3 linked regions of the Caenorhabditis elegans genome follow. The protein of the gene in region 2 interacts with the protein of the main gene of each other region in a pairwise test. Each region holds a gene or a part of one and is shown on either strand. Other genes may lie near its edges. The genes, in order: sma-6, tsp-14 and daf-4.

What was found.
Region 1: the proteins of tsp-14 (region 2) and sma-6 interact in a two-hybrid assay, tested with the Caenorhabditis elegans proteins (one study listed by BioGRID).
Region 3: the proteins of tsp-14 (region 2) and daf-4 interact in a two-hybrid assay, tested with the Caenorhabditis elegans proteins (one study listed by BioGRID).

The regions. Positions count from the first base shown.
Region 1 is NC_003280.10:6,322,315-6,331,513, forward strand, and holds sma-6 (Serine/threonine-protein kinase receptor sma-6), read left to right. Parts: upstream 1-2,169; 5' UTR 2,170-2,174; coding exon 2,175-2,314; intron 2,315-2,361; coding exon 2,362-2,512; intron 2,513-2,730; coding exon 2,731-2,820; intron 2,821-2,865; coding exon 2,866-2,977; intron 2,978-3,021; coding exon 3,022-3,177; intron 3,178-3,219; coding exon 3,220-3,313; intron 3,314-3,402; coding exon 3,403-3,483; intron 3,484-3,528; coding exon 3,529-3,665; intron 3,666-3,712; coding exon 3,713-4,016; intron 4,017-4,092; coding exon 4,093-4,264; intron 4,265-4,307; coding exon 4,308-4,706; intron 4,707-4,751; coding exon 4,752-4,826; 3' UTR 4,827-5,041; downstream 5,042-9,199. Other genes in the region: C32D5.4 (uncharacterized protein), read right to left, coding at 234-765; set-4 (Histone-lysine N-methyltransferase Suv4-20), read right to left, coding at 7,886-8,086, 8,133-8,465, 8,517-8,685, 8,733-8,878, 8,925-8,942.
Region 2 is NC_003284.9:4,866,988-4,878,910, reverse strand, and holds tsp-14 (Tetraspanin-14), read left to right. Parts: upstream 1-4,417; 5' UTR 4,418-4,503; coding exon 4,504-4,538; intron 4,539-5,888; exon of another isoform or gene 5,889-6,023; intron 6,024-7,851; coding exon 7,852-8,014; intron 8,015-9,328; coding exon 9,329-9,514; intron 9,515-9,563; coding exon 9,564-9,650; intron 9,651-9,699; coding exon 9,700-9,792; intron 9,793-9,898; coding exon 9,899-10,045; intron 10,046-10,682; coding exon 10,683-10,871; intron 10,872-10,918; coding exon 10,919-11,098; intron 11,099-11,523; coding exon 11,524-11,799; downstream 11,800-11,923. UniProt on the Caenorhabditis elegans protein: Functions redundantly with tsp-12 to regulate cell surface levels of the BMP type II receptor daf-4 (but not BMP type I receptor sma-6), probably by regulating endosomal sorting and recycling of receptors, preventing their targeting to degradative lysosomes.
Region 3 is NC_003281.10:5,622,037-5,634,000, forward strand, and holds daf-4 (Cell surface receptor daf-4), read left to right. Parts: upstream 1-3,105; coding exon 3,106-3,246; intron 3,247-3,326; coding exon 3,327-3,458; intron 3,459-3,826; coding exon 3,827-3,949; intron 3,950-4,570; coding exon 4,571-4,678; intron 4,679-4,727; coding exon 4,728-4,836; intron 4,837-4,907; exon of another isoform or gene 4,908-6,170; intron 6,171-6,459; coding exon 6,460-6,522; intron 6,523-6,632; coding exon 6,633-6,778; intron 6,779-6,825; coding exon 6,826-6,933; intron 6,934-7,424; coding exon 7,425-7,810; coding exon of another isoform or gene 7,811-7,835; exon of another isoform or gene 7,836-8,062; intron 8,063-8,421; coding exon 8,422-9,122; intron 9,123-9,589; coding exon 9,590-9,807; 3' UTR 9,808-10,286; downstream 10,287-11,964. UniProt on the Caenorhabditis elegans protein: Involved in a TGF-beta pathway. May be a receptor for TGF-beta-like ligand daf-7. Controls the decision of whether or not larvae enter a developmentally arrested state, known as dauer, in response to environmental conditions.

The sequences.
Region 1 (9,199 bases), on a different chromosome or scaffold from region 2:
TACGAGAAGAAAGTTTTGAAAAATGTTCGAGAAATCTAAATTGCAAAACTACGTACTACCACGAGTCACAGAGGTAAGCAAAACTAATTGTGCTCCGATAGAGTGAAAGCTTGTCCAACTGTACCAAATCAACGCAAAATTACACTGACAGAGACTAAAGTTTCACAGAGAGTTGCACCAAAATTTGTAGTAGTCCAGAGTCCCAAGAACCAATTCATTCGACGTCAACTCACCAAGTTCTGCACTATTCAAAATGATACTTGATGACCAGATGCGTTGTTCTCCATTGTCACCAGTTGTGATGGGCAAAAGGCCAGCAAATGAGAGTCTGAGACCAGTCCGATCGTGCACAACAAATGGTGTATTGGTTGTGGACATGTGCGTCAAGAGACGTTTCATTTCATTCGGATTTTCTCGCATTTCGGCTTCTTCCGGCGGTGTAGTCATCACTTCGAAATCGTCTTCTTTGCATTTTAACATACTGCGTACGATGTTAATTTTTGATGAAAACGAAATAATCAAAAACTGATTTATTTTTTTCCAATCGTCAATATTTTTTCGTTTTGAAGTTCTTAGTTGGAATGTCACGGAATGAAATAGTGTGGCAGTAAAAATAATATTAGTTTCAAAACAATTCCCTTGCGTATTATTTATTGTCAGGAAAAAATATACATCATGAATCTTTTCCCATTCTTGTTGCCTTGGAGATTTCATTATTTTGTCGTCTTTTTTGGACTTCAATTTTATATTCTTGTTCCAGTACATTACATGTTTATATTCATAATGTGAGAACTTTTAAGCTTCATTGTGTTAAGCTGTAGTTTCAGAACTTTTTATACTTTCGCTTTTTGAAGCTTTCGGCAACCTTTGCCGGGACTGAACTTTCCAAAAACTCATAGAATCCTATAAAGTGTTTTTTTATTCTAAAACACTGGCACTGGTAATTAACTTAAGTATTCAAAACATTAGTTTCATTTTTTCTAAAATTTCTAGAAGCCCAGTATTGTGAATAAACTAAAGTGCCCTCAAAACGTATCATACTATTACAAAATTGATATTTCCGATAAGTGCTCAGAACTCTTTAAAAAATAATATTTGTCGAGTCCCCAGTAAACTATTAATATTTTATAAGTTGGGAACAACAAAGAAGGAAATGTAGAATCAGATTTTCATTGTCAAATAAATATCATTTTTGAATGACCAAAACTCAAAGCTTGTTTCAGATTTTTCAATATTTTCAGTTTTGGCAAATTTCCAAATTTTTAAATACTTCGGAATTCTTGCAAATTTTTGAGCTCTTCTTTGATCAAAAGTAGGATTATTGGTCGACTTTCAAAATTATGATAGGCGAAGCAATATTGTAACTTGTTATTTTGTTACTTTCCCTATTATGATTATTTTCCCCTGTGTTTGCCAAATTTTCCAAAAAAGTAAATTTTTAAGAAATTTCAAACGGTAAACCCCTACAACATTTGAATACAAAAAAATAAAACTCGTAGATTTTTTTTTGCCGACTTCTAGTTCTTCACTAATTTGTGACTATACATAAAAAATTTCAGTTTTTTTTGGTGTTACTATGGTATTGGGACATTTTTGCACTATAAGCATGGTTTCATGATATTTTCTTACTGACGATTTTAATTGTAGTACTATAAAAATTTGTCGTGCCCTTCCGAATCTTGTATTCATCCGGTGCCCAAAAATCGCTAAACTTCAAACGATAGAAACAATGAATAGATATTGAAAAAAAGAAACACCTGGTGCAACCCTCTTTTACATAAATCTAATCCATCTATTTTTCTCAGAAAAATGGCGCCACGCCATTTAATGACCCCGTCATTTTATGGGGTGGCGCGACAGAAAGGCGCCGCACTTCTACCTATTCTCCGGTCATACATATATCCATTTTGGCGCAACTTTTCCGTTCAGATCATTAGTATCATTAGGCGGACAAGTTGTCAAAAAGAACATTAAGTGAATGATGAGATAGTTAAGAGAGATAGTGTACTGATAGAAGAGGCCGTAGATTGAAATATTGTACGAAACGGAGAGGAAACTCGGCAAACAGTCTTTTCATCTCTACCTCTGTCTTTACTCGTTCTATTTTCATGTTTTTCGCAACTGACTTCATTAACAATATATTTTAATCAATTTATTTGCAAATTTCAGATTTAATGAACATCACCTTTATATTTATTCTCATTTTCGGATTTTTCAATACTCAAAAATGCTCAAAAGACTATGATCACTTTGACGATGAAGACTTAGCGTTGAGCATTCCAAAAAATGCAATAGGAGTTCCAAAGGAGTTCAGGTACATGAGTTTTTATATTTTATCAAAAATTCAGTTTTTCTTATCAGGCAACAAGTTTTAAAAGAGATGAAGCTTCGGAACAGACCCAATGATATTTTGAAAAATCGATGTTATTGCAATTATGATCAGTCGATATGTGGAAATAATATGACATGTGTGAAACAAGATGGAGCTGCTTGTTATCATGCCGTTGAAGAGGTAAAATTAACTTGTAGCTCTTGAAAGTTTCCGTTTTATTTTTTGGAATATTTTTACACCATGGAGGTTAGCAACATATGATCTAGGCGTTACCAGTTTTTTAATGAATGGATTTTTCTCATTTCTTGAAACTGACAAATTATAATAATTTTTTTTTTTTGAAAAATCGATGTTATTGCAATTATGATTATTTTCAAAATTATAAAAATAAATTTTAGGTTTATAACAAAGCTGAAAAACGAATGGAAACTCTTCATAAATGGGGATGTGCAACACTGGAAAGAGGAAGTGGAGCTTCACATTTGACGGTGTTTCATCGAGTTTTTTGAAATATTTCACCAGGTGTTTTTCAGTGTAATTCTTGGAGAGCAGCTCACCATTCTCCTAAAAGTATTGGTTGTTGCTATGAAGGTAACTATTGCAATAAGAATTTGATTCCGCCGGCATATGTTCATCATCACAAGGGTGAGTTTTTTTTTAATTTAAATTTTTTAACAGGGACTATTCAGAGAAAGCACTTCAAGAGAAAACTGACAATCCAGAAGACTATGATTCTCCACTGGAAAACATGACACGTGGAGGAAAAATGTTCATAATGGTATTTGCAACAGTCATGTCGGTTTTTGCAGTCATTGGATGTATTTATTTATGTATTACAAGAGCAGGTGAGACAGTTTTTAAATTACTAAATTGATATTTTGTTTCAGAAGAAAAATCTAAAGCCAGAGCCAGAGCCAAGACGGTGTCTCTGAAAACAGAATCAACATACATGGAGAGCAAATCAATGCTCGAAGACTCAGGGTTCGTTTTTATTTCCTAGAGTATTTGCGATATAGAGATATCATACCCATTATTTTGAAAGTGATGTTTTTAACAAATACAATTTTCAGAAGTGGTTCTGGGCAGGCTGCGTTGATCCAAAGGACAGTGAGACAAGATTTAACAATTATTAAAACAATTGGACAGGGAAGGTAAAATTAATTCTTATTTTAATCTTTGTTGCCTATATTTTTTAGATATGGAGAAGTTCGCAAAGCTCTGTATCGTGGAAGTTACGTGGCTGTAAAAACATTCTACACAACTGATGAAGATTCATGGAAAAATGAAAGAGATGTATATCAAACTAACATGATCAATCATGAAAATATCCTTCGTAAGCTATTTCAGTAAAATTACTTTGAATTTCAAGAATTGTTTCAGAATTCGTGGCGGCTGATATTTGGAGTGAGGAAGATTCAATGACAAAGATGCTTCTTATCACTGATTATCATGAACTGGGATCTTTATCAGATTATCTTTGCCGTGAAGAAACATTGACAACAGATGAAGCTCTTCGACTTATTCACAGTTGTATATGTGGTATTGAACATCTACATGCAGCTGTACACGGAACTGGAAGCTTTAGAAAACCTGAAATTGCACATCGAGATATTAAATCAAAGAATATTATAGTCAAACGACCAAATGTGTGTTGTATCGCTGATTTGGGTTTGGCACTACGATAGTGAGTTATTTCAAATGATGCATCTGAAAACCAAAGATTTAGTTGTTCTGAAATTTAGAAAGAATAATGTTTTCAGTCAAAACGACAAAATTCTCCCTGAAAAATTCAATGTTCAAGTTGGAACAAAACGATATATGGCTCCAGAACTGATATCAAACAAGTTGAATCCAAAAGATTTTTCTCAGTTCAAGATGGCAGATATCTACTCAATGGCACTTGTTATGTGGGAAGTTGCAATCAGGGTTGAGGTATGATTATTCAATGAGTTTAAAATAAAGGCCATGATTGTAGGTAAACACCTGTGAGGAAGTGTTAACTGTCGATGAGACCTCTCCTGATCACAGTGCATCAAGTGGTATCGGAGAGTCAGTTAGTTCATCTGGTAATATATCGAGAATGCATCTACAAAAAACAAATGTAGAAGGACATTCTACATCTCTGAAAGCAAAACAACATGTCCCACCATTCGATGGAATCGTGCACAATGATCCCAATTTTGACGAGATGAACGATGTAATTTGTGTACGTCGAATACGTCCACCACCGGATCTTGCCTGGAAAAACGTCCCAGCACTTAATGAATTGAGCAAGTTGATGGAAGACAGTTGGCATTCAATTCCACACTTCCGACATTCTGCTCTTAAATTGAAAAAAGAAATGGCTGAGTTGATCAAAAACCCCGACAGACAGGTAATTCAACACGTTAAGGAGCTATATCTAACTCTATGTTTTCAGAATCAATCGCAGCGTAAAGTTGAATTCCAACAGCAAGACAGTGGCCTTGTTGAGTCAGCCACCAATCAATCTTAACCCACTTTCTGATCTTACTTTCGTTGTACCAAAATTTTTGGCTTCTTTAAAATCAATTTTACTTTTTCAGTTTTGTTCATATTTCCACAACGGTCAAAATTTAAAGCGATCTCTCTAATAATTTCCCATCAATTTTTTAATTGTGCAACTCTTATGAACTTGTTCTCATCTCGATTTACTGCAATTTTTGTGAATAAACATTGTTCCAGACCTGTACGTTCGTGTTGTAATTATGCGACATTATTGTCCATCATTGCCTAATATTTCCTTGATAGATTGCCGATAAGACAAATTCTTAACTTGCGCTCCCTGTGGCAGAAGACGGAGCAAACAAAATTATCAGCTCAACCATGTTTAAATGTACGTTTATTATCTCTCTATCTGAATCTATCTGGATTGGTGTGCACTGCATTTGTGAGCAAATATAGGCATACTTGTACGTGGTTTGATAAGATAATACTGCACCGTTAGACAACTCTTTTGGGTGAAACAAAAGGGAGACAACTGCAAGTTGCATCAGTTGGAACAATGAAACATTAATTCGTTAAAACACAAAGCACATCTGATATCATTTTCACAATTTATTTCGTTTATCACATATTTTAGAAGATCATCCTTTTGTAAAGTTAAAAGTGGATTCATGATATTTTAATTTTGACAAATCTCGACTAGAAAATTTTTAAGGATATCAAATATTTCAAGAAATTTCTGCACTGCAAGTTACGGCAAAATGTCCATCTGTCTGGATTTATTTTGTAGGTGAATCACTTGACTGTAGAAATCGAATATGATGCATGCAACTAAGTCTTTATTTCACAAAGCTTTTTAAAGTATTTTTTCAATTGTAAATTTGATAAATTCAATTTTAACTTCGCACACAAACCAGAAAGATCGGCAAATCAGCGAGATTTATCACGGTGTTTGCAAATCGTTGAATAACCATCAGCGTTTTTATATTGAAATTGAAACTTGTTCTGATACAGTAATTTTCAAAGAACCATCCATGTACAAAGAACCATCCATTGAATTTTTAAGAAATTGTTTCATTATAGTTAATTCCAGTTTAATACGGAATGGAAACAGTTAAGGTTGATTTGTCGAAGCAGGAAATGTATTTTCTTATAGACCTGGCACAATTTTTTTACGGGAGATTTGAAAATTGTGCCAGAAACTTTACAATCTAAGTAGGTCCTTTAATTGTATTCGTTTTTTTTTGTATACTGTCTCTATGATTACATCAAATCCCAGACATCTTGACTCCTTGCGTAGATTTTTGTTGTATAATTCTAAGTCTTAAATTATCAAGGCTCTTGTATTCGATGAGAGTGCCTATCAAGAGAGGAATCAAGTTTTCAAAAAAAGAAGCAAACGTAAATTGGAACTGGGAAAGCTTAAAAAAATATTCTGACTTAAGAGTTTCCCATAAGCAAATTGAAATAATCAATCAAAGAAACATTGTGATTTCTAACAAATGTCTTACAGTATATGATATTTACCCGGAACTCATGATAGCAAAAACTACCGTCAACAAAAATCAGAAGTTGTTTCAAAAACAGTTAACCGATTTCTCAAGTCTTGAACTAGAAAATGTGCATAATATCACGTACTTTGTCATGATTTTATGGCACTCTTCCAGTTCAAGAACAAGCGGTTTTCGAGTAGAATATGAATACGAAGTAATTGTAGATAATAATACAAAGAGCACTGTTATCACCTACACCACAATTCTCTTTTATAGTGACACAAAAGTAGGTGGGCTTATGGAATGGTAGATAGTTGAGACACAGAAAAGATGGTTGCCTATCACCAAATGGGCGGTGTCATCGATAACAATGCAACGTCGGGGGGCGACGGAGCAGTCCACATATAGATCGATACTTTTAATTGGTGTACGAAGGTGCAGCAACGGATTGACAAAGGCTCGTTAAAAATAATATGATTAGTAACGATGAGAACTTTGTGAGGGTGAGGGTCAAAATTGAAGGCTAGATGATTTTTGAGATATTGGGCTCAGTGGGGGATTGAGCCTAATATCTAGTATCTAGATAAGTTCTTTAGCTGGATAATCTAAATGATTAAATTAAAATAATATTGAAATATTCATTTTAAAGTATTTTTTGTGTGGCATTCAATACTAATTTCCTGACAAACAGTAAATGATTAAAAGAAGACTACTGTGAACGTTTGTTTCTGCAAATCACTTCTCCAGAACTGAAACAAAACATTAAATACTGGTGTAAAAATCAGAAATACCGTAATCCTTCTATTAGTATTGGCCCCTGCTGCTTTGCTTTAAAGGGTATTATCTCACTTAATATTAAATATATCAATAAATATTACAATACAAACGATAGAAAAAGAACTAACAAATATTTTGTTAGTTGACAAGTTTAAAAAGAAACCTACGACAACTGAGATATAAGCTATCAAAAGTTTACCACTTCAGATCAAGTTAAACTTGTATAAAGATTGGAAGATGTTCACTTCGTTTTTTTAAACAACTTTTACTGGTGATTTCTATCCCCTTTTTACTTTTTTTCAAATCCCGCCATACTTAAATATCGCAATTGATGACCAATATTATAAAAATTGATACTTGCTGATATCAAAATTAGTCAGCTTGTGTCGAGATCCAATGAGACAATCGGTAACCGTACCTACATTTATTTGAGCTTTAAAATGTGTATTTTAATTAAAAAGTGTATCATCTTCTTATAAATAATTTATTGATTAGACATACTGTAATTTCAAAAATGAATCTGGAATTTTAAAGAATGAAAATAAGAAAACAAAATAGAGCACAGATAGAGATCGTTGTACACACACAAGAACCAAAAAGGAAAGGGGGAAGAAAGTTTCTTTGGGATCGCTATGGATTTCAGGTATCTAGTGTACTGAAAACTGCGGTACTGGTACTGGGGCTGTGCTATACTGAAAATAGAAATTTGATATCAGAATTTAAAGAAAAGAAAAGCCAATGCTTCTCTTCGTAAAAGATATCGTATTTACACTGGCCATGGAACATGAATTAATTTGTAAAAATGATTGAAAATTATGATTTAGGATCGTGAGCGGAGTTCATATTTGGTCTTCTTCTCCGAAATTATTGGTTCAGCATTCTCGTTTCCACGGAGATAACTGAAAGCTCCATTCATGTTCTTCTCGCAAGTGCAACATTCACAGTCTATGTTGTTTGGACCGAAGAATTCACTGCCGTAGAAGCAGGTGATTTCGTCACCGGGAACCATGTCACGAAGAACCTGCAAATTTACACATTTGAAATTAACATGATATCAATAAACATACTCGAATGTGAGCTGTACTTCCATGTGATACGAATTCACAGGTCGGCCGACAGTCATGATTGATATAGGCACCTGGACCTAGCCATAGAGTCGAACAGCGTTTTCTTGTGCTGTACATCACAGAGAAATCGCTTCCTTCTTGAGCCAGTATAGAATCCTCATCTTCGCTGGATAGCAGGCACACGACACCGCTGAGCCGCTCAATTTTATCGCCGCGGCTCCAAACCCCAGTTGAAACAAGTTTTGCACCTTGATGACCTTCTTGCGAATAGCGTTTGCATTCTTGGATGGTGTACCCAGAATCAAGTATGAACATATTGAGAAATCGAACAATCTGGAATAAACAGCAATTTTGTTAAAATTAGATTTCAGGATATGAACTAACGTGATCACGGAATTCAAATAGCTTGTTCGGAGGAAGTTTCGAGAGGAAATGTGAAACACTTCGGAGAGTCAAAAGTCCGTAAATTGCATTGGTCCAATCTCGTTGCTCTCTGAATGTTTTCATAACTGTTCGAGCCGTTCTATACTCGTCCTGATACAAATAGCGTCGCCTGAAATTTTAATAATGAACGAGATATAGAAAGGCCGATTATCTTACTTTTTGCTCATTTTATGGGTAGTAAAGTTGAGAACCGAGTCGACGACAAGCGTAGTAGCAAAATCATCAAAATAACATAGTTCTGTTGGAGTCATTGAGTGATCCGAGCGAGGAATGTCATTGAACGTCACAGAAATGTTGGCAATCTGTAAATCGATCGATAAAAAATTTAAAATAAACAGATTAACTTACTTGCTCGTGTAGTTGCATTCGTTCAGGCGTTGACTCATTTCTCCGAGCCATTTTCTGAAATTCAAATAACAGATTGTGAGAAAAAATTGAAAAATAAACAAAGAAAAACAAAGTTTTGCAGTTATCCGAGAGGATTACACGGGCCTACTGTAGTATTTCGTTGCGAGACTCAAGGAAACTTTATTTTGGTAGTCCCTTTAATTTATTTTGGAAAATGTCAAAGTTCATATCGATATTCGCGGTTGTCATGGGAAAATGAGAAAAACGGGGAAAAA
Region 2 (11,923 bases):
ATTTTTTCTTTACAAGTTGTTTTCTGTAGACTATTGTTAACATCAGTGCGCGATAGTAATATTTTTGATCAAGTAACTGACGCATCAATAAGTTTCAAAAATGTTCAAAATTTTTTTTCAAAACGTTCATTTACAACCAAAAATTAGAGATTGGTAAAGTTTTGTCATCCTTAATTCCGAAAGTCTACAAAAACAAAGATTGTAAATACAATTTTAATAATTTAATAATGCTTAAATGAAATGTAGCGTTCTACCAGTGTGAATTTTATTTAATTATTTTTACAATAGTTTTTTGATTGTTTTTGAACATTATAGTGCTTGAAATATGCACCATTTGTCAAATTTGCCAAAAATCCCAAAATTTCCTATATTAGGATATTTGCAATATTTTGGTTCAAAAAATTCAAACATTTAAAATAGAATTACTACTGATGCTACTAAACCTTTTTATATAATTAATTTGTAAAGCTTGTTCATACGTTTACATTACATGGACACAAAACTTTAGTAACTGCAGCAATTCAGCCACATTTTCTTGTCGTATACCCAATTTCTCATTTCATTTTGTTTCCGTAACGCTTCCGATTCCTCAATCTGCCAGTGTCAAAGCTGTCCACTTTTATTTGCTTTTTCTTTATGTGCAAGTGTCTCTGCTCTCCAGTATTTTACTTTTTACCAAGAAGCTTAAGAAAGATGATATTAATTTCAGTTGCCATCGGGAAAAAGAAAAGCGGCAAGAAAAAGAAGAAGCGCGGATTCGCCCCCAAGGAATCGTACTTCTCAAATACATTCTTTCACTACTTTTCCCAACAACCACCAAAAGAGGTTGTATGCACCAACACCAAAAATGCCAAAAAAATCATTTGTTCTTGTCATTTCAGTTACAGAAATGTGACTAAAGTTCTTTTTAAAATGTTTGAACATCAAAAATTATTTCTCAATTTGAACTTTTCTTCTGGAACTTTTATTTTTTCAAATTTTAGTTTAGTTATTTTAGGAGTATTTTCATATTTGTTGAATTGTTAGAACTTATGGGTTTCTGAAGTTATAGAATTCTTTAGAAAACTTTTCAACATTTCTGGAACTAAATAAAATGCATATTTTCCCTAGGGTTGTTGATCTCTTCAGAATTCTTCTGAACTTTTTTCTTGAAGTTTTACAACTTTTCAAAAATTTCCGAACGTTTTACAAATTTTCCACCGGTCGCCAAAACATTCCAGAAGTTCCCATTAGCTTTTCTACGTTTTCGTAGCTTTTCAGAAAATTCTTCTTTTTGTCTTAATTTCCTAACCCTGAACCAATATCTCCTGAAATCACAAAAAATTTGTTTTCAGAAACACTGACTACAAACAACAATTGTAATTTTATTGCTCATTATTTGGCTCAGAAATTGACTTTTTCGAAACCTAAGAGCCTAACTCTGGTGATTTTCCAATCTGCTCGAAAAGTATCTCGTTTGATCTGATTCATTGGCTCATTTGTGCTCTTTCATCGATAAAGTCAAGTGCACCCTTTTCCATCCTCTGATCTCGTGTTCGACGTTCAAAATCGCACTTTGTTTGAGTTCGCCGACGCAATCGCCGTGTTGTGTTTTTTCTCCTTCATTTCACTTCTTCTTTTCATTTTCCGTTACCTCCTTTTTCTCGTTTTGGGTCATCTCATTTCATTAGCAAACAGCACGCTTGTTGTTACGACTAATGTATATGTACTTTACTGTAATCCTATTCTTTTACAAACGTTGTTTTTTTTGTGTTTCTCAATCTCTTCCTCGAGAAATAAAAAACCACACGGAAAATACCAAAGAAACGGCAAGGAGCGTGATTTCCTATTCCACTTATCTTCTCGCTTCCTCAATATGAGAAAAGGAGTGTGAGGAGAACAAGGGATTCATTTCCGAACAACCAGCCCATAATTTTGACTGGAGGTCGCTTGACAGTCAAGAGACAAAAACGTTGACTCAGCGGGGGTTTCTTCGTTTGGTTTTTAGAGAATCCGCTTAGACAGATGTCATTTCTATCATTCTGCAGTGTTTTCTGGTATCGTATTCTTAGCTATGGATCACATTGAAGTTGCATCTAGTTTCTCGTCAATAAGGTAAGAAACGCGATTTTGAATCTCAAAAAATATCTTGTAGTTGGCTATGTATTCGTAAATTTTTCAAAACGGATGTGCGGCACATTTTGTTTAGCCCACTAAAAAAATCTAATTTTTTATCGTTGTGTAGAAGTTTTATATTAGATTTTTTACAGCAATGTGGAAATTGGTGTGTTATTTTTGAATATAATTTGCTTTTTCATTAAAAAGTTTCAAGAAGGTTCTCAAAAACTTCACCAAAGTCGCAATGTGCCGACTGTCATCGGCTGAAAGTATGGTTGAATTTTTTTAAAATTAAGACTGTGACTTGTATCTAGTTGTCTCTCTCAGTTTTGCATTCAGTTGCTCCAATTGTTGGAAATTAAGTTTTGAAAATGTATACTTTCATCTACTTTTTCAACGTTATTAAATTTAGTTTCTTCTCCAACAAATTACAAGTCACCAACATTTAAAAAATTGCCCTACTTTTAGAGAGAATATAGTACACATATGAAACTTAAAATTATCTACTCGATACTTTTTGAACAACAAATTTACTGTTTCAAATAATGATTCATGAACCACAAGGGAAAATATATTAGTTTCAATATACTGAAATTTTTGATAAATTATATGCTCTCTGGGTAGGATGTTGACTGACCTACCCCATCTCGAGGGAACACGCCCGCTCAGTTGTTAACATTTGATACATGGCTCCAACTCGAGAAATTAGTTGCCTTCGGACCCCGAAGCAGTTTGAATATTTCACGACATCTAAATGGGCTCCTCAACAATTCGTATTCCTTCCCCCTTTTTGCAACCATTACTCTTTTCGCCCTCTTTCTTTCTTCTCGTTTCCTCACTCCCATATGACAAACGGGCCGCCAATGCCTTTTTTGGTACCTGCTTGTTCCTATTCTCGACCACCGACCAATTATTCAACGCGTGTTCGAGGTTACTCGATTCCGTGCCAAGCAAGCATTTCTTCATCATTTTACTTCAACTTGTTTCAAAAACGTTTTTGAAGTTAAATGGAACAAGCGAAGTGATACAAGGAAACGAAAAAGAAGACGACAGTCACTTACCCACTTTTTTATCACTCCAAGACAACGACCAAGCTAATATGTTGCGATTTTCTGGACTGGTTCTCCAACCTGTTACATCATTCTCTTTTTTCTTGCTTCCATCCCCCAATTTCATCTCATTTTCGAGAATCTGAAGTTGCCACCAACTGAAAACGCGCCTGCGCAGGCATGTGTGTGTGTGTTTTTTTTTCGATATTCTCCTTCCATAAACTTTCTTCAAGTCCACTTGATGAATTTATAAGATTAGATTTTCCGCAAAGAAGGAGAAATGAAAGCGAGTGGAAAAGAAATAAAAATAGAAAGTTCTCTTAATCAAGTTTTGGGTATTTTCACTGTATTTTTGTATTATGGCGAACTATTTAGGTGTGCTGAAAATGTGCCAAATTTTGTTGGGTACATTTTTCAAACGCAAAGTAGCGTCAGTAGTGATTTGCGCCCGTTATATAGGGTTTAATCGTGCAGCAAATATCTAAATTTCTCAAAAAATCTAGACTTTTGAAATTTTGGCAACTTGCCAAAACTTTATCTTAAAATTTTGTGAAATTTATAAAACATTCGAAAGTGTTTAAGAATGATATTTGTACACAGTAAATTAATCATGTATATTTATATCAACTGCACACTAAAATTACTTCTTTCTTTAAGGGGTTTAGTACCACGATTGTACGCCAAACGAACAAAACTGCTTATTTAACTGAGAAAAAACCAACTTTGTGATTGAAAATTAATTTGAAATATCAAAATAATGTTTACTTTAGTTGAAAAATAAAAAAAAAACCTTAAAAAATGCCTGAAGTTTTCCGTTTGCCTAAATTAGATTTCGCCACATTTTCAAAATTAAACGGCTTTATTTAGACCCTATTTTAGATATAGTATTTTCAGTTGGAGTCACTATTTTTCTATATTTTATTTTAATTTATGATCAAAAAGCAGATTTTAACACTTTTATACCTGTAAATATATCAAAAGTACAACAAGCGGAATGTCCAGTTCCACATCGGAAACAGGTGAGAAGCCCGAGTACGTGAAACATGCTAGCCCTCACTTGTCTGCCCATCTCATCCATTCTTTTGCGAACAGAATATAATAGCGAATAAATTTTATTGGGCCTGGCGGCGGTTGACTGAGGTTGGCTAGCCACTAGCCACCCTCATCCACTGCCTGACCTCTATTTGAGAAGAGTTGATGTCCAGTCACCGCTCTCATAGTTGACGTGTTCTCGTTATTTCAAGTGTTCTTTCAATTTCCCCACCAAGCCCATATTCCTTTTTTAAACGACTTCCTGAAGCTAGGCAGCCGTTACTATCAATTTTGTCTGAAACCATTCTGAAATAATCTACATGAGATGCCCCATCGCGCACCGCGACGGTTTATGAAGACGTAAGTGTTGTTTTGTAGAGGGAAAAGAGACACACAATTGTTACTGAGTGACCCACTTCTATCCGCTATCACATCCTCTTTTTTGATCTATGACGACGACGTGTCAAAATTGTTTGTTTGTGACCATCTGTTTTCGTCACTGAAGAAGTTTTTTGCAAGTTCCGGGGAATAAATATAACACGTGTGGTGTTCGTGGACCAAGATGTTTTTAATTAGACCTTTCAATTGTGGCTTTGAATTTTTATTGTTGGAAAAGTAGTCGAACCCCACAGAAAATTGTAATTGTTTGACTTTTGAAAAATTCCGAAATATTTTGGGCAGAATTCAGGATTTTAAAGTTTTTGCAAATTATGACATAAAATTATCTAGAGTTGAAGTACCATTTCTATAGTTCTAAAATAACCAAATATCATAAACGTTTCAAAAATGTTTCAATTTTTTTTCGAGTCAAAAAGTGGTAAAAACTCAGTTTACGCAATTTTTTAATGTCGTCGCTCAAAAAATACCGTTTCTCCTCATTTTAATTTTTAATTAGGTTTGTAATAAACTTATTACAACATTTGAGGGTTTCAAACATGCAACAGTGCTTCAAATTTCGGAAAAAACTGTAACATTCAGAGATTCATTAATGAAATCTACTTAATTTTTATAATAGTTTAAAATTTACTCTACATATAAATCAAAGTTGAAATATTTTAGAAAGGTATCTTTCTAAACTAAGAAAATTTTAAAACTTTTCCAATTTTGTCACGAAACTTTTTAAAGAATGTACACATGTGATCTTTTACTACTTTTTTTTTGAAATTACCTGTTTTTTCCAATTAACAATAAGATCCCAACTGAAATAGTAATCAAACTTATTTTTGAACAAAAAATATCCGAAAAAAGCGTCATACTAGTTTGACCAATCTTTCCCACAAAAAAGTACCTTTGACGTTCAAATTTTATGGATCCCCCATAAATCGTCAATTATCATTAATCATAAATTATATCCAATGATTGTTACCTTGTTTCAATAGGCACAAGATAAAAAGAAAAACCGATTTATTATTTTTTTCATGCACCCATTGAAATACCGTACCACTCTGAAAACCAAACTTTCCAATTGTCTAAATATTTTTGTTACACTATTTCCAAAAAAAAAAGTGTTTTGATCATTGTCTCGTCCGTTTCTCCTTCTTTTCGATTTTATTGAATCCTTCTCGATCGGCGAAACATGAAGATAGGAGGCTAACCCAGTGACCATAAAAATTGGAAAAAGCGCCGCCAGACCATTTCAAGCCGTCGTGTTTGCCTCTTGATTTCAAGGCTAAGTCTCAAAGTTATTGAAGTACATTTTTAAGCGGAAGGCTTTGTTTCACACACACATACATAGCCTACGTCCTTTCCTCTTCGACACCCCACAAACGATACCAGCAGCATAAGGCGAAAAGGACGACGACGTCCCTCTTTCCTATCGTCTTATTCAATCTTCGTGTGCTTCCTCCCATTACTCTGTCCGTTGTCTTGTCATCTTTCTTTCTACGTCTGGTATCGTGTTGTACAATTTTAGATTTTCAGTTGAAAGAGCTGCTACTGTGAAAATTGAAGGTGGAGTACTAAAATTGCCAAATATCATTATAAAACTTAAAAAAAAAAAGGAAATATTTTTATTTTGGAAGTCGTCGATCAAACACCTTTTTTTCCAAGTTTATGTTTTAATTCTTTTTGAAGTATTAATATTCTAACATTTCATGCGGCAGTGCTTCAGATTTCAATTCAATATGCACCACTTTTTACTCAAAAAAAACTTGCCTTTAATTTGAAAAAAGATATTTAAACATTTTATCATTATACCATACCTTTATGTTACTAAAATTGTTTTTGTCTTAAATTTTTTCCTTGCTTTGCCATATATTCAGAAGAAGACTAGGCCCACACTTTCACACCAACTTTCGGTAATTATATCGGCAACCCTCAATGACTTATTTTTCTTTTTTCCTTCTTTTCTCTATATTTTTGTATACAGTGCTGGCCGAAAAGGTATCCCCTTTCAGTAGATCGGTAGTTTAGCAATATTTTCAACTCAGAAACCAGAAATATTATGCAAAAATGCTCAACAGATAAAATTTTCCTCATAATTATGTCTCTTAGTTTTTTATGCTTAAAATGTTCACAAGAGTTGAGGTCAGAATAAAGCAACCAATATCTCGTGAGTCTATTTTTGATGTTGATTAATATATCGACTGTAACTGAAACACCAGATGTTAAATGGAAAATTCTTTTTTTTTTTTAATTTATAAGTTTTCTATTTTTTGCAACTGTAAACTTTTTCGAAATTTTCATATGTGTTTTCATCACGGTTTTGGAAAAAATATTAATAACTGCAAGCAATGAAACATTATATGAATTCTATTTTGATTCTACAACTTTCCATTCAACATATTCTTTTAGAGTGGCATTCGATTAATTGACCATTCTCAAAAATGGACTCATGACCTGTGGGTCGCCTTGCTTTTTGCCACGACCCTTGTAAACAAGTTGAACATGTAAAAACAAAAAAAAAACAAGTGATTTGCAATATTTTGTCAGTTGAACGTTTCCTCATAGCATTGTTTGTTGTTCTAAGTTATACTCGTTGAAAAATTTGCAAAACAACCGAAAATCTAGGTGGTGATACCTTTTTGGCACAGTACTTGACGATTTTTATCTGAAAAGAAGTATTTTCTGAAAAAAACTTCTACCCTTGAGAAGATAACTTGAACTAATTACAAGATTGTCGACTGCTGGAATTTTTTGAAGTTAATTTTACACACTGAGGGTGCTTGAGAGTGGCGTCTATCCATCAATCCTCAATTTTTGCCTGGTTCTCTTTCACTTTCCTTGATTAGACTTTCGTGCAAAAGACCAGACCTTCATCACAACTTACATGAGGAAGGGAGGGAGTAACCCCCGTTCCTTTTGTTCAACAACTTTCACTTTCTTGTTCTATTATTGAGACATGTAATTGGGGGCTCATCTTCCATTTCCCGCATCTGCTCATCCTAATTGACAGATGTCGTTATCCTGTTGGTCACGCAGGTATCTTATTCTCTGTCTTATTTTCCATTTCCCATTTTCCTTGCCTAGACTTGTTTTGCATTTTGATTGTGATTTCCACCATTTCGCGGTTCACTGATTTCGCAACAAAATTTTTGAATAGCTAAATAGCCAGCTTTGAAAGTCTTCTATCTCTTTGCCGTCACTCATAACACCCATTCACATTCATCAAAATCACACATTTCTTATCATTTGTTTATTATCGCCCCAATAATTAATAATCACATTCTTTCAGCGCACCGGGCGCTTGTGACTGGGAACAGTGTCTGCTGATGGGCTCCGGCGAGCCGACGCGAGCTCGCGCGGTGGTCTCATCATCACACAAGCAACGCAAACCACGACAGGAAATATCTGCATGCCTCAAATGGCTCGTCTTCCTACTCAACTCAATTGTCTTCGTAAGTCAAAGTGGTCAAAGTTGCAAATTCCCTAAATTGAGAAATTTCGAAAAAGAAGATATAGTATTGAGTATAATGGAGTTTCACTTCAATTTCTTCCATAGGATTTGAATAGGTCTATTAGATGGGTGAGGGTCTTTGTTTAACAGACATCAAACACCTTAAGAAGAATTTTTGTATGCACCTGTTTCGTGCAACCATCTGCCTCTAGGTTTAAACATCCAAACAAAGCCGCCACAGATTGATTGGTTTTGCAAAAAGGAATGTAGAGACTCATTGTATTTTGCCCTTGTCCTTTCGTATCTAGCCAATCGGATTTTTGTTTCTGGACTAATGCTGGCCATTAGCAATGGGTCATTTACTCGAATTGTTCAAACAGGACTGTAGGCCACCATGAGAAAAGCGCCGAGTCACGGTACAGTGGATTTGAGAAAAGTTGTATGAAAAAAGAATGGTTGAATTTGTAATGAGAAAAGAATTTAAAAAATGCTCGAAATTTGCAAAAAACTGCACCGTAGTAAGTAGTGCATACCATCTTTGTCTACAGTTTTTTAGTTTTTTTTTCAAAATCAGCCGAGATAGAATTTTTAAATGTGGAATGGTGGGGTGCAATAGAAAATCCTTTTTTTTTGAATATTCACGTTTTGATTTTTTGCTCTCACGGTTCATTTTTTAAATAATTTTGTTTTAAGTAGGTATGAAGTCTAAGTAATGTTAAAGTTGAATTTTTTTTAGCAAACTTCAACAAAAATGTCATCAAAAAGAGTTTTAAATTTACGGGCCTTTAACACTTATTGGCAATTGTCAACGATCAGTTATTTCATACTGAAATATCCTATTTCTAGTGAGCCATTAATTTTAGCAACTGAGCTTCCAAGTTCTTAAGAACAAGTAAACCATTTTCATGAATAAGAGGGAATTGTTGAATAAGTCATAAATTGTAAGCCAATTACCCCATTTTCTTCTATAGCCCATCGCGTTCGCCTTCAGAAGCACTCAAGTTCATAAGTGCGTTAGGCTTCACCTTCCCCCCCCCCCCTCTCATCCAAATTGCCTTTTCGGTGTTTGTGCATTTCCTGCCGAATGTTAATTGAGGATGACCTTTCTTTGCATCAGCTCCTAATTTGCATAAGCCATGTCTGCGTCTATGCGGCACGTATGGATCTATAAAGAATTGAGAACGTTTGAGTCTTTCCAAATGAGAGTTGGCGGCAAAAGTAGAGAAAGGAAAAACAAGATCTATAAATGAAATTCAATTAATCTAATCTGCTCAAATACAAATATCAAATTAAAAACCAGAAAACATTTTTGCAGCTTGTCGGAGTTGGAATCCTAGCACTCGGAGTATACCTATTTATCAAAGATTTTCGAGAGGTTAAGCTGGTGGATATCATTCTAAACCCAGCCATTCTTATTAGTATATTCGGTTTTTCAATATGCGTTGTATCATTTTTCGGTTTCATGGGTGCCTTGCGCGACAATATTTTCTTGCTCAAATGTGTAAGCCTTGAACTCCCAAAAAGTGTCAAATTGTAGAAAATTGTTTCAGTTTGCCGCTTGTGTCTTCTTATCTTACATTCTAGTCGTGGCAGTGACACTAGTCTTTTTCACATTGTTCTACACGGACACCACAGAGGTAGTTTACTTGTAGATCTTTAATAGAGATTGAGTTTCTTATATTTTAGGGTCTTTCTGCAAACTGGTTACTTCTTTATGCCGTCAAAAACTACCACACCAATCGAAACCTGGCTGAAATCATGGACGCACTTCAAGAAAATGTAAGAAGATAATTTAATAGAAAGTACGGTCGTATTTTGTGACACAATAGACACTATAGGCACAATGTATAAATCGCTAACAGATTTCGAAAGTAAATATCTTTAGCTGGAATGTTGTGGAGTTTCATCTATTGCTCAAGGATATCGAGACTGGAACATGAGCTACCAGTTCAACTGTACCAATTCAAATCCTCAACCAGAAAAGTGTGGAGTTCCATTTTCATGCTGTAGGAAGTCTGTTATCTCTGAAGCGGTATGTTTTTATGTTGTTAGATTTTTGAAAAATATTAATATTCAATATGCAAAATTAGGCGCATTTTCTTTGCAAAAAAAGGCACTTCTACAAAGTTCCAAAATAACACGGGTAATACTAGGCGATGAACCAATAAAAAATTTCCGCTTTTCCAATTCCGATTCTCCAATAAAAAATAAGTTTACCACCCAGACTTTTTATTATACCTACTTCTCGGAATTATCAAAGAATATATATAGAAACTCTAAAACATGATCAGTCATGTTTTCTATTCCGATCCAAAATGTTTCTATTTGAGTCAAGGAATTTCGGATAACAAAATAAGTTTTTAATGCAAAAAATGTGTGATTAAATGTGACGCATTTGATTTGATGTTACTTATACATATACCAGCCGTGGACCGCACCTACGGCGCGGCCCCCGACTTTTTTGAGAAAACACATTAGATATACGGTGTCTATCGCGGACCTCGATCGATGTCTGCTGCGCATTTAGCATAAGGTTTCCCAAAATTTCGTTGCTCTGATCAAAGATCAAACTACATAGGGACAGAAGGACACGCGCTTTATATATAGTAAATGATATTGATGTTATATTGATGTTACAAGTTACATATATGTATTATTATTATTTTCAGGCTGGATCATCAAATCCACTGTTACCTGCAATGAGATCTTTAGAGTGCTGGCAAAATGCTCTAACAAAACGACCCGGCGACCTGGAACACGATATTTACACCCGCGGATGCCTTCAGCCGCTTCGGACACTTTTCGAGTCCCACGCAGTGCATGTTGGAGCATTCGTTGCTCTTCTCATTGTTCCAGTGGTATGTCAAAAATTACACAATTTCCACAGTAACAGTTGAAATTTCAGTGTATCTCGGTGTGTCTCACCAACATCCTTGCAAAACAAGTCGACCATCAGAGGTACCTGTTGGAGCGGGAAGCACGGCGAAACGATCGACGGCGAAAGCGAGATCATAACCGTAGAGATCAACTGAACTCGTTGGATCTACTTGAAGAAGGAAAATTCAACAACGCTTCTGCTAATGCCGTAAGATTTTATAACACTTTTTGCAAGTATGATGTACTCCATTAGTGAAATTAGATCATTCTTTGAACTACGTGATTGTTTAAACTTCGTGATTTTTCACGCAAATGTTTTCAAAAAATGCAAACAAAAAACTCGACATTTTGATAATAAAAATAAAAAAATATATTAAATCTGCCCGCTCCTCCTGCAACGGATTGCAAGCTTACAATCTTAATCATCGTTCTTCCAAAGAGTTTTTGTAAACAGGAGGATATTATGCACGTCATCATCACATCATTTCTCACCGCGGGGGCTACTAAACTGCTTGTAGTTTCGCAAGGACCAGCATAGGGCATTTCTCTTAAAGCTTCTCGAAAACCACCAAATGAATTGGAAAATCAGAAAGATGTCTGAGACCATCTTTGTTTTAAAAATATTGTTTTCAGACAAGGCCGAGACCACCGGATATTCCGCCTCCGCTACCACCAATTGAGCATGTGCCGAGGAAAAAGTCACGAAACGCGAGTAGCTCTCCAACTCGAAAGCCCAAATCTGCTGGGGTTGAAAACGCGGCAGCTCGTCGAAAAAGGACTGCGACAACGACTCGAACACCTCCTGCCGCGGCAGGACCCGCGCCAACGCCACAGGCAACCACGACAAATCGAACGCATCAATGGGTACTGCAGCAAACCGATTTGGTTCCTCAAAAAAGCAAATCATAAATGTTATAGTAAATGATATTCAAATTTAACAACTGTTTCAGTTTCATACATACCAAATCTTTCTGTCTCGAACGCGGTGATATAACTTATTTTAGCCTCCCATTTCTTTCTGCCCCCAACTCAA
Region 3 (11,964 bases), on a different chromosome or scaffold from region 2:
TGCACGCCTGAAAAGGGTTGCCAACTTACAAGATATAGCAAACGTTTTGACAAATATTTTGTTAATTGAATTTTTAAGTAAATTTTACCATTCTTTCTTTTTTTGGAGAGAATAGAGAAATGATACATTCTAGCTTCTATGCGGTTCCCTTTAACATTCCTTGATAACTCTCAATGTTCTTGGCAATTATGGAAATTCCAGAAAATTGTATGTTTAGTATCCATGTTCACTTTCCGCTAATTTCTGATCTACTGTTCAAGTTCTGACCACTTAAAACATCTCCCCCTGAGTGTCCTGCAAAAAAAGTTATATGTGACTTTTTCAACATTTTTTCAACCCTCCCTGCAAATCGTTTGACCTATTTGGAGTGCGTCGTGGGCGGGCTGGTAATGACCATCATTTTCCCAAATAAATTATTTTCGGAAGTGTTCTTCACGGTTTGTGTTTTGTAGTCAAAGTTCTAGTGAAGTTGTTTGCAACTTCGGAGTACTTTGCTGTCGAGGTATTTCCGTAAGAGTTAGGAAAAATAATGTCAATTGACAAATTGTAGGAAAGTTTGTGCTGAACATATTTGAGCAATGATTGTGCTATTTTTTTTTGCCAATTCTGAGTTATATCACTTCATAGTTAATATTTTTTGATATTTATAATCGCAAAATTCATATAAAATCTTAAACTTTTATTCCCACTGACCATGAATAATATTAATTCACTGAATAACTGATGATAAGTACCCAATCTTTTTTGTTTTGTCTCTCTTTCTCTCACTACTATCTCTCTTTTCTCTTTTTCAAATGAGAAGAACTAAAGCAAACAAGTTGTGTCCTTTTTTTCACTAATGTTTAACCTCGAACCGACAGCGAAACCACACTTTTTTGCTGCAATTTAACGTTTTCTCACACGATTGGACCTTTTCATGGAGGTCTTTTATATTGATTTTTTTGAAGATTTAAAACTGTTTTTAAAATTTTTATACTTTCGACCCATCATCAACATCAAGTTTATTTTCTTCTTATAGGTAGCTAACCCCATAATTTTTGCGACATTTCCTGTTTTGAAAATGAAAAAAAAAGTTGCGAAAAATAAGTTAAAATGCTACAAGATTTATGTTACAATTTTAAATGTTCTCATGGAAGAAAATAATAAAAAATGATTATTTGGAAAAATAAATACAGGTTGTTCACGAGGAGTACTTGAACTAATGTTTTGAATTTGATCTAGTTATACGGAAAAATTTGAAAAAGTAAACATAAGTTTAGTTCCCGCCGAATTAGGTAGTATGTATTTTTTAATAATTGAAATTCGAATAATTTATTTTTTTTCTTGACAATTATCTCTTTTCATATAATTTTCAAAACCGTCGTGTACTCATCGTGAGCAATATTGCTTGTTCTTCGACCTCTTACTTTGAACTCGATGGTTCCTTCAGGTATTCCGAGGCCTTCAGGTTCCTACTATTTTGCTCTTTTCCTTCTTCTTCTTCTTCATCTAACATAAGAGAGCTTTGGTCTTACACGCCTGCTGCTACCCTCTCCTCCTTCTTCTGCAACAACAACAAACCCACCGTGGTCACATGTGAATTTCGCCGAGTTTCACGCTCTTTTTCCCCCTTTTCTTTTTCGGCTTTTGCTGCAAAAATAGAACGAGTGAATAATACCCAGAAAAAAGCGAGTGCTTTGTTGTTGTCAAGGTAAACACAAAAAATATATGAAAAATGTTCAAAAAATATTCGTTTTGACATTCTCTTCTCCCACTTAAGTCGCTTGATTCAATGTGACGGGGAGGCTTGAGGCAGGAGGAAAAGTATAAATTCACCTGAAATAACGAATGGTGACATGTTTTTGAATAAGAAGAAGGAAAGGATGACGTTGAGTGGTACTTTCTATTTTCGTACGTTTTACAGAAAACTTATTGAAACTTAGCGCCCGACATCTAGCCCAAACTTGGACGAACACCTAAGCCTAAGCCCAAGCCTAAATCTCATTTTAGACTTTTAGCCGAGCCCACGCCTACTCCAATTCCGTTCTGCTGAAAAAAACATACGTTTTCCTGGTACCACGCACGAAATATAATCCTGAGAAACTTTTTTTGGTTACATTACATGTGTATAGCACATTATTTAATTTTTCCTCGAATTGCTAGTGTATTTTGGGAACCGAAATATGGAAAGTCCAGTTAGTCCGAACTTCGCCCATTTCCTATAAGGTGCAGGTGTTCATCGATACTATATTTTTCTCAAAGTTCCCGTTCTATAGACCCCGGAAGATCCCGCCTTCATTCTGTTTGGGCCCCGCCCAACTTTAGCCCCCTCCGATGAGAAAAAGAGCACAAGAGGACAGCGAGCCCCTCTTGTAAGGTTCTTGTAGGTCAGATTGTCACGTCATTTGATTTTTTGTTGTTGTTTATTAGAGAACATTGAATGAAAACCTTTTTTTATTTGAAACAAAAAGTAGAGAGTAGAGTTTGTAAAAGTGATAAGAGTGTACCAATCTTTGCTGTTTCCTCGTTCTTTTTCTCTTTTCTCTCTTCATTTCTGATGTGTGCTTCTCACTTCATTTTTTTTGCAAACTTTTTGTGCTTCCTTAACACTTTTCACATCTTTCGTTTGATGGAGATTGTGCAATTTATTCCTATTTTTACGGAATTTTTGAAAAATTTGGTTGACATTTTTTAGTTGAAAGTTTTGAACTCTCATGGTGCATCGAAGTAAAATTCAAACATTTTATTTTAAAAAAATGAAAAGTTTTTTGTTAAAAAAATTGGAAATTTCGAATGTCGAAATTCGAAATTTTTTTATCCGAAATTTCGATTGCTTTTATTTGAAATTAAGAAATTTAATTTTCATCAAAACTAAATTTTTAAAATTTTAGCTGGAAATTTTAGCAAAGCTGGCAATTTTATTTAATTTTATCGAAATTTTCGAATTTTCGAATTTTTGAAATTTTATTTATTTTTTCTCAAGTTGAATTTGTTGACCTATTTTTTTTATTTAAATAAGTTTGCATCTATTTTTCTCAATAAAACATTTGATCTTAATTATTTATTTATTTTACTCCTCAACTTTAAAAAAAACGTTACAATAATTCAACTACCTTCAATTTTCAGATGAATCAGAAAGGGACAGTACGTCTCAAGGCACTTGTGCTCATTTGCCTTCCACTCTTTTTAATTGCCACACCGGTTCCTGTTGCAGTCACGGAAGACGATCGTCAGGACCGAATCGAATCGGAAGCCGCCGAGAAAGAGGTGAGCATTTTTTGAGAAAATGTGTTTTTGTCGTAAACTTCTTTATTTTATTCTATCTCCTTGGTTTAACCATCTTTCAGTGGGCTAACACCCTAGTCAGCAAAGTAGCACAGTCAAATGGAACTGGCACTATTAAGGTCTCGGCACCAGCGAAGCCCACGTTAAGGAGAATGGACAATGAGGAGGATGAAGTGATTTCGATTGAATGTGTAGTAAGTTTTTGGATCAATTTGATGGAATTTAGGCTCATTAGATAGTGTTGACGTTTTGGGGATCAGAAATCAGTGACTCTCCCGTTTGTTTAAAAATTACTGGATCAAATACACTTTAATTCCAGTGAGCCCTGTTCCCCTTGTAGAGGTCGCAGAGCCAATCCACCCACATTCCACTGATCCTTGTTTCAATTAACTATAGTTACTTTAAAGTACCAAGATATTCTAAAAGGGATAAGTTCAAACCCGCAAGCTACAATAACTACAACTCCTTTTGTTTTTCAAGTGTTATCACTATTCCATAATTATAGGCTCTCTTCCCCAAAATTAAAGCAGTAGTAAAAACGTTAAACTTTAAAATTTTGCAGTACTACGACGAGATGGAATGCGAAAAGAGTGGCGATTGTGAAATCACAAAGAAGACGTGTTACAGTGAAGCTCATCTGAAAGCCGTCGGATGCTTGGCCGTATTTGGGCTGCCCACGCAAGAGGTTAGTGTGGAAGAGGTTTTTGGCGGCCACCCCCAGACCGAACTGTGTCACATGACGGGGGCCCTTTATATATATTGTTTCATTTGTTATTCATGAGTGACATCTTCTTCCTCTTCATCCGCGGAAGTATTTGTATCTTTTGCATTTTTTTTTCCATTCTGGCTTATGACTTTGTCAGCTGGAACAAATTGGGGTGACATGACTCGTGATTTTTGATAGTTTTGTAGGATGGAATTTGAATATCAAAATTAAAATCAGAATTGCATTAGTTTTATCGAAAACAAATACATATGAGCAAGGTTTTGGCCTTTTTGAAGACGACTTTGAAAATTTACTGAGCGACATAGGATTTAAACGTGGAACTTGATTCAAATTGAAAAAAATACTGCGGAAAAAGTTAATGATCAAGGCTTTATTATTCCTTTGCTACAAAGCTCTTCAAACCAAACTTAAAAGTTGTTGAGTTTATCAATCCAATTTTGATCGAATCCATTAAAAATGTGCAAACCAACTAATCCGGATTTAGCTGCCCATGTTTCAAAAGATGATTAATTGAGTAAAGGGGATAATAATAGATATATGCATCCATATTATAAACATCAAAAATCTTAAAATTTCCAGATAAACTCTACAGAACCATACCTGAAAGTTGATAAACCGCAATACAAAAGTCTGGGATGTATGCCGTATCAGCACGCGGACTCGATGAACTGCGAGAACGAAAGCTCCGTAAGTTATATTTCAGCATTCGGAGCACCTCATAAAACTGGAATTTCAGTGTCGCCAAGGACGATCATTTCGCGGCGGAATTGGAATGTGCTGCTGTTCGACCAACAATTGCAACATGCCGGATCTCATCGAGATGGTCAACCCGTCATTGAAGAAGGGTCAGTGAGCACATTATATTAAGAGAGCACTATATCCCATGTTTAACCCCATTCTTAGTATACTAGAGCAACACGCAATGATTCTGTTTTTGTGAATATACATATATATCACCTCCTTCTTTTTACCTTTTTTACCTTCTTTCTGTCCCACTTTCTGTTTAAATAACCTTCTTTCGGGTGAGCGTTGGGGCTAGAGGCTAGGGAGAAATTGTTGGCATTGAAATGAGAGGTTTTCTGTGAAACATTTAGCTTTAAGTTAGCAGAATTTTCACGAAAGTTGAACAACCACGCGTGTCTGTGCCTAGTTATTTTTTCGAAATACGGTTCATCATACGGAGGTTGCCTCCCATCAACTAAAATACGACAGAGTTGGAGCACATTCGAGAAAATTCCCAGGAAGTTAGACAAAAATGTGGCAAACTAACGACGAGTGTAGGGAGATAGTGGACGGAAGTTGGCAAACGTTGCGAGCAAATGAGAAGCACCAAATTGCAATATGTCCTAATGTAGAAGCGTTCAGGCGAAAGTTCGAGAGAGTTTGGCGATGTTTGGTTTGAGCTCGGCCACAGTAATAGGGAAAGTGACGCGAAGTGTGATCAATCTGAGTCAAGCTTTCGACAAGTGAAAGACGAGAGTAGGAGTTGAGGAGCGGGCCAGATGGAAGACGGAAGCTGCGACGAATCTTCAACTAATTTATGAGCGTTGAAAAAAAAAGTTGGAGAGAGGTTATGGGGTTATTCAAGTAGTGTCGGAAAATTAAAAAGTGTAGAAAAATTACGTCACAACCTTATTCAAGTAGATAAAAACATGTATTTAAATACATTTGTGACGTCACAAATGTATTTAAATGCATTTTGCTACATTACTTGAATAACCCCATTAGAAAATTTTGAATGGTCTCTACGGATCTCAGCAAACGTTCGTCCAAACTGCGACAACCTTATGACGCGTTTATGATAAAATTTGAAGTTGAGACAATGAGAGAGAAGGATAACCGAGCAGAGGTTGAGAAGAAAGCTCGAGAGAGCTTGGCAAACATTGAAAGATAGTTCAGCTAGCCCTGAGACAATATTTTGCGCCAAAGCTGAACAAATTTCCGGTGGAAGTCAATCGGAAATTAAGAAAAATATGGAGAACTTCCCATTACTTTAGCTATACTCCTCCCAACCTTTCCCCGTGTACCCTCAACCTGAAAGAATCCACCTCTGTAAAAGCCTGCAGTTGTCATAAACCTTGTTCCCAATTTCTCTTCCCTTTCCTAATTTTCTCCGAAAAAAATGCACGTGGACCTCTCCAGATTGTCTCCTAATTTTCTCTTACCCCTCACACATACACACACACACCATTCATGCAATTTTATGTTTGTTCTTGTGGCTTTGCAAGTAAACCACTTTTTTATTTCAACTTTCTTTTGTTCTTTCTGTTTCTAGAGGCGATTCGCAACGACACTCTGCTGTTATTTGGCTCCTCCCCTCCAGTGAGCGGAGTGTCGTTGCAAAGTGAAACAAACGCTTTTTCGTAATAATTTGCACCCGTGGAAGATGCCTGTACACACACACACACATACAAATAAAAACATGTACACATTTTGAAATCACCTATTTAGAGCCGATAAAATTTCAGATTCGGATAATTCTGCACTTCTGTGGGCTTCAACTCCATCCAACATGGATTTGGAATCTCTAGGTACTGTCTGCATCTACGTCTCGGGGCTAGCTGGGTACTAACTAGGTGCTAAACACCCTCTACCACACATCCCCCACTCTTGTCAGTTTCTCAATGGAGCGAATTTGCAGACAAGTTCCCATTCTACTGGATCATCATAATCGCACTGTCAGTGATCCTTTGTATTGCACTCTTGATCTTGGCATACGTTGGTTGGAAATTTCAGCAGAATAAGAAGGAGGAGATAAAAAAGCAGCAGAAAATTAAATTTGACATGGCGAGTTTTGTCTTTTTTGAAATCGAATCAATTTTCGAAATTTTCAGGAAAAAACTGACGCACTGGAAGCTGGAAATGTGCCTCTCGTGGAGCCGGAAGAGGAAATGATTGAAATGGTGGAGACACCAAAGGAGCTGCCGATCACTGATTTTCAGGTATGTAGGTACCGCAAGAGTCGTGCTTGATATTTTATATTGAAACATGCTCTCTAAATCTAGAATACAACATTTGAATTTTGAAAAAAAAACCATATTGGTGAAACTTTTCAGCTTTACATGAATTTTTTAAAAATTATCAAAAACAATTGTTAACATAACTTAAAAACAACGAACAATTCTGAAAACATTTGAATTTATGGTTTTTTAACAGTGTCGGGGAACGTTTTCATTTGGCATTGGAGCGCATTTGCACTTTGATTTCAAAATTCACATATTTCGCGTCTTCATAATAGTTCGTCTTTTTGATATTTTGCTCGGAAGTTCGACCTCACGGTGTAAACTTTTGATGTCCACTACTTTGTGAACTCTGAGCTTTTCCTTACTTTTTCTTTATCTTTGAGAAAAAATGTTGAAAACAACAGAAGGCTCTTTTCATGAGCTGATTGACGTCACACTTACACTCAATGACATTTGTTCGTTTATTGCAGTTAATCTCAAAGGGACGTTTTGGAAAAGTTTTCAAGGCGCAATACACCCCAGACAGTGGTGAGAAACGATTGGTTGCGGTGAAGAAATTGAACGAATTCCAAAAAGCGAGCTTTTTGGCGGAGAAAAGAATCTTTGATGAGCTTAACGAGTACCCGAAGTGGTATAAAAGTATCGTCGAATTTGTGTGCGCCGAGAAAATTGGTGATGAGTATTGGATTGTGACCGAATTTCATGAGCGACTTAGTCTCTATGAGTTACTCAAGAATAATGTAATTAGTATTACATCTGCCAATCGAATTATTATGTCAATGATCGATGGGCTTCAATTCTTGCATGACGACAGGCCGTACTTCTTTGGACACCCAAAGAAGCCAATTATTCACAGGTTAGTGGAAAATGAAAATAATTAGAAAATTTTTAATGGATCTGACTTGTGATCGCCCTCCAACTAGTTTTAATGCTCAGAACTTTACTCTAGGTTGGTCCTAGAAAAAATCGGAAGAAGTTGCTAAGTTGCGCTTGAGCAGCCGACATTTTCAGGATCAATTAATAGTAGCGTGGACCTACAAGTTGTCGGCTGCAATTTCCAGTAAATATTTTTTGAAATACACACGATAGAGTCCAAAATGATAGGGTAAAATATTGAAAAAAAAAAACCAATTTTTAGGCGCATGACAATTTTCAGTTGAAGTTTCGAAAAGTTAGGGTTTAGAAAAAAAATAAAAATTCAAACAATTTTGTACATTGGAACACCTAAAGTATCTAGAGTTAATTAGAACATAATCAGAATATAAATTTCGCGGGAAAATTGTGTACAAAGTGTTATTATGATATTCGGTTTACTATCGGAGAGATTCTAACCAATGCTCCCAGTAACACTACGTTACCTTTTAAGAGCAGGTAGCGAGTTTCAACGACGCACGACGCTGGTTAGTGTATGCTCCAAACTGTTTCTAATGTCTGTACTTATTCAATTCAATAACCAATTTTTTGCAGAGATATCAAGTCGAAGAACATTCTTGTGAAAAGCGACATGACCACATGCATCGCGGACTTTGGCCTCGCCCGAATCTACAGCTATGACATTGAGCAAAGCGATTTGCTGGGTCAAGTGGGAACGAAACGCTACATGTCACCAGAGATGCTCGAAGGAGCAACCGAATTCACGCCAACTGCTTTCAAAGCGATGGACGTTTATTCGATGGGACTCGTCATGTGGGAAGTCATATCCCGTACCAAGTTGCACCAAACCGACGAGCCACCAAACTACCAAATGCCGTTTCAAGTCATCGGATTTGATCCCACAATTGGTCTCATGAGAAATTATGTGGTGAGCAAGAAGGAACGACCACAATGGAGAGATGAGATTATTAAACATGAATATATGAGTCTGCTAAAAAAGGTTACGGAAGAGATGTGGGATCCCGAAGCGTGTGCACGGATTACAGCTGGATGTGCGTTCGCGAGGGTATGGAATCATATTATGAGCTCACCGGACAGTTCGGAGGGGTATCACAGTGGAAGTAGTATGAAGAATCGGGGTGTTGATGATGTTGAACAAAGTGAGAAGCCGGAGGGTATCGAAGAAATGCAACATTATCATGCGTCGTCACCCAGCAAGAGACAACATCCTAGTCCGAATCCGTTTTTTGATTCGTGTCCACCACCTCCGCCGATTCCTGTGATCCTTGAAAATGGTGAGTGTACAGTGAATCGAATAAATAGTTGACATGACCCGTGAGATGTCGGCTGCTTGTGAAAAGCAGTTTCTAAATTTTAGGTGACTTCCCAGGAGATGTCGGATGCTCAATGCAGCATAGCTTTAAACCTTGAGCAGCCGACATCTCACTGACTAGTTATACGTTTGTGTAGGTAAATGTAGGATGCTGGTAAATGACCGACCGACATCTTATGGGATACGAATGGCTATGCTAAAAAACATCTCACGGCTAATTAATTGGTTTTGTGGTAACAGTTTTCTGAAATGATTGGCTAGTCCCTAGCAGCCGATGTTTTGTGAGTTCACTGATGTTTTAAGAGTGCCCGCTGCGTGAACCAACGAGCAACCGACGTTTTGCGGGTTCCAAAACCTTATTTGCCTGGCGTAACTAGTAAAGTGTCGCCTGCTATTTTTCCTTTTTTATAAACAAAAATTATTTTTCAGGAGGAATCCTCCAACCAGACAACGCGGAGCCAGAGCCCGAAGAGCTGCCGGATCTCCCGATAGTCGAGAAAATCTACGATATTGCGACGAACATGCTATTCTCAAGAGAAGAGCTTGACCTTATGAATGCTCAACGGCAAGTTGAATACGAAGCTGGGGCAGACACTCGAGCGTCGACACCAACGCCTTCAGGGACGTTTGGAACGTTTACAACATAACTATTCATTCAAATCTAACATTATTTTATATTATGATTATACTCCCATCCTCTCCTATTCTAGTCTATATGTAGCGGTGGACACCTCACGGGCCCCTCGCCGCTGGCCCACCACCTTGTCTCTACTTACGCGTCCCCTAATGATCTCAATTTGAGCACAACCGGTGTATATATCAACTTACAGACGTTCAATATAAGAACCGCTAAAAGTTCTATGTCTTCGTCGTCTAAAACTCTTCCAAAATCTCTGATCTCTTGCATTGTCTCTCACTCAACCAAGTTGCCCACTCTCATCCAACTAACTCAAAAACTTACCTCAGCCCATGGGGCATCCCCATATTCTCTCATTCATTCACTATATTCATTGATCTGTGATAACTTTGTATTGGCAGTTCACATCACACAAGAATCTTTTTTTGTATATCAGTTGATTATTTATTCTTCATTTTTTACACTTAAAATTAAATAATGTTTCTTGCTATTCACGAAAAATTGACATTTTTCTTTTTTCAGATTCATCCGGAAATACCCATTTTTAGACAGCTGATATGCCTCATCACCTGCCACTAGTTAGAATGTTTCCTTCACTTCTTATTTTGTTATTGACTATCAACTTTCCGTCTATTTCAACATAAAACATTTCCTTGTACGGCAGTAGCCAACCGACGCCTATTTTTGTTCCTAGCCCTTCTTTATGTTAGCTTTTTAATCCAAAAAGCTTTCCACTCACACAATCTTTACTGGGCCCGCAGAATGTCGGCTGCTTCCAGTTCTTGACAGCAGCAGCCGACACCCGACGGATCACATGCTAAAAGTCAAAAGTTCACGGTTTTTGAAATTTCTCTTCTCCTCCTTCTTCAACAGCAAAAAATAACATGAGGGAACCGATCTATTCTTAGTGAGTAAACGCAATTTGGCTCCTTCTCTCTATTCGTCTTGTACATCAATCATATTTGGCGTGTCTTGTCCCTCTCCTTCCACTTTTCAGAGAGACACTTCTAAGAAGAATTCGATGTTTTGTGTGTGTCTGTGTGTCAAATTGAGAAGCGTGCGAACGAATTCGATTGAGGCTCCAGTCAGCACAAGCAAAAAAATAAAGCTCAGTCTTGTCTCGAAATTCGAACTCACCGTGCTTTCTCTCTCTCTTTTTGTTTCGTGGATTGTCGCTTTAGACCACCAGGAAATGGTGGAGGACATCTCAGTTTTCAAGATGGGCTATCTGAGCTCAACAACAAGAGACAAACCCAATTTCTTTTTTGTTATTGAGTTGTTTGAAAAATAAGTTGTATTTCTTTCAAAATAAAGCAGCCGACGTCTTACGGCAATTCTGAACGAATCCGGCTGCTCGTACAGATCTGTCGCGATCAAAATGGGCAACAACTTCTTGGATGCGCGAACCTTTTATGATGTCGGCTGCTCTTTTTTGTTATCACTGTGAGTGGCCGACAGCTCTTAAGGACTTAACATTTTTCCCCCATTTTTACTTCCAATTGACATTTTCGTCATAATTTTCGCTATATATATAGAGTCATCTTGAATATTCCCCTTCAATTTTCTCATCAAATTTTTCATTGTTGGCTCGCCGTTTTTAATGGAATTTCCAATTCATTTTTCTCGTTCATTCTGTTTCCATCAATTTTCGCGTCATAACTCGAGATGTGTGGGAAGATTCCTTTGAGTTAACTTAAAATAAAACTAGATTTTATAAAATCAATATTCGAAGGAGTCATCAGTTGATTTTCAGGAGTGGTTGGCTTCTTTCGGGTTCGTTAAATCACCACAAAATATCAATTTTTATGGACCCAAAAAGTGTCAGCCGCGTTAGGGAACAGATACTTTACCAAATGGAGCCCGTGAGATGCCCGGTTATTCTGTGAACGTGAACCTGTAAAGTATGGTCTGCGTCTTCCAGGGGGTTCATCGAGCAGACGACACCTCACGAGGCAGTGCTCCGACCCAAACACGGATTGTTGATCGCTTATTGTGTCCACTAGCAGCTGATATTTTACTAGACAGTTCGGGCCTGCGAAGTGTCAGCCGATCCGACTACTGTGTAGAACAGTTCCCAATGTAATGCCGGCTGCATTATCTAGTATGTTGTGGGGCGCCCGACATCTTGCAAGTTGATGATATTAGCCTGCCGGCCCAAATTTATTTG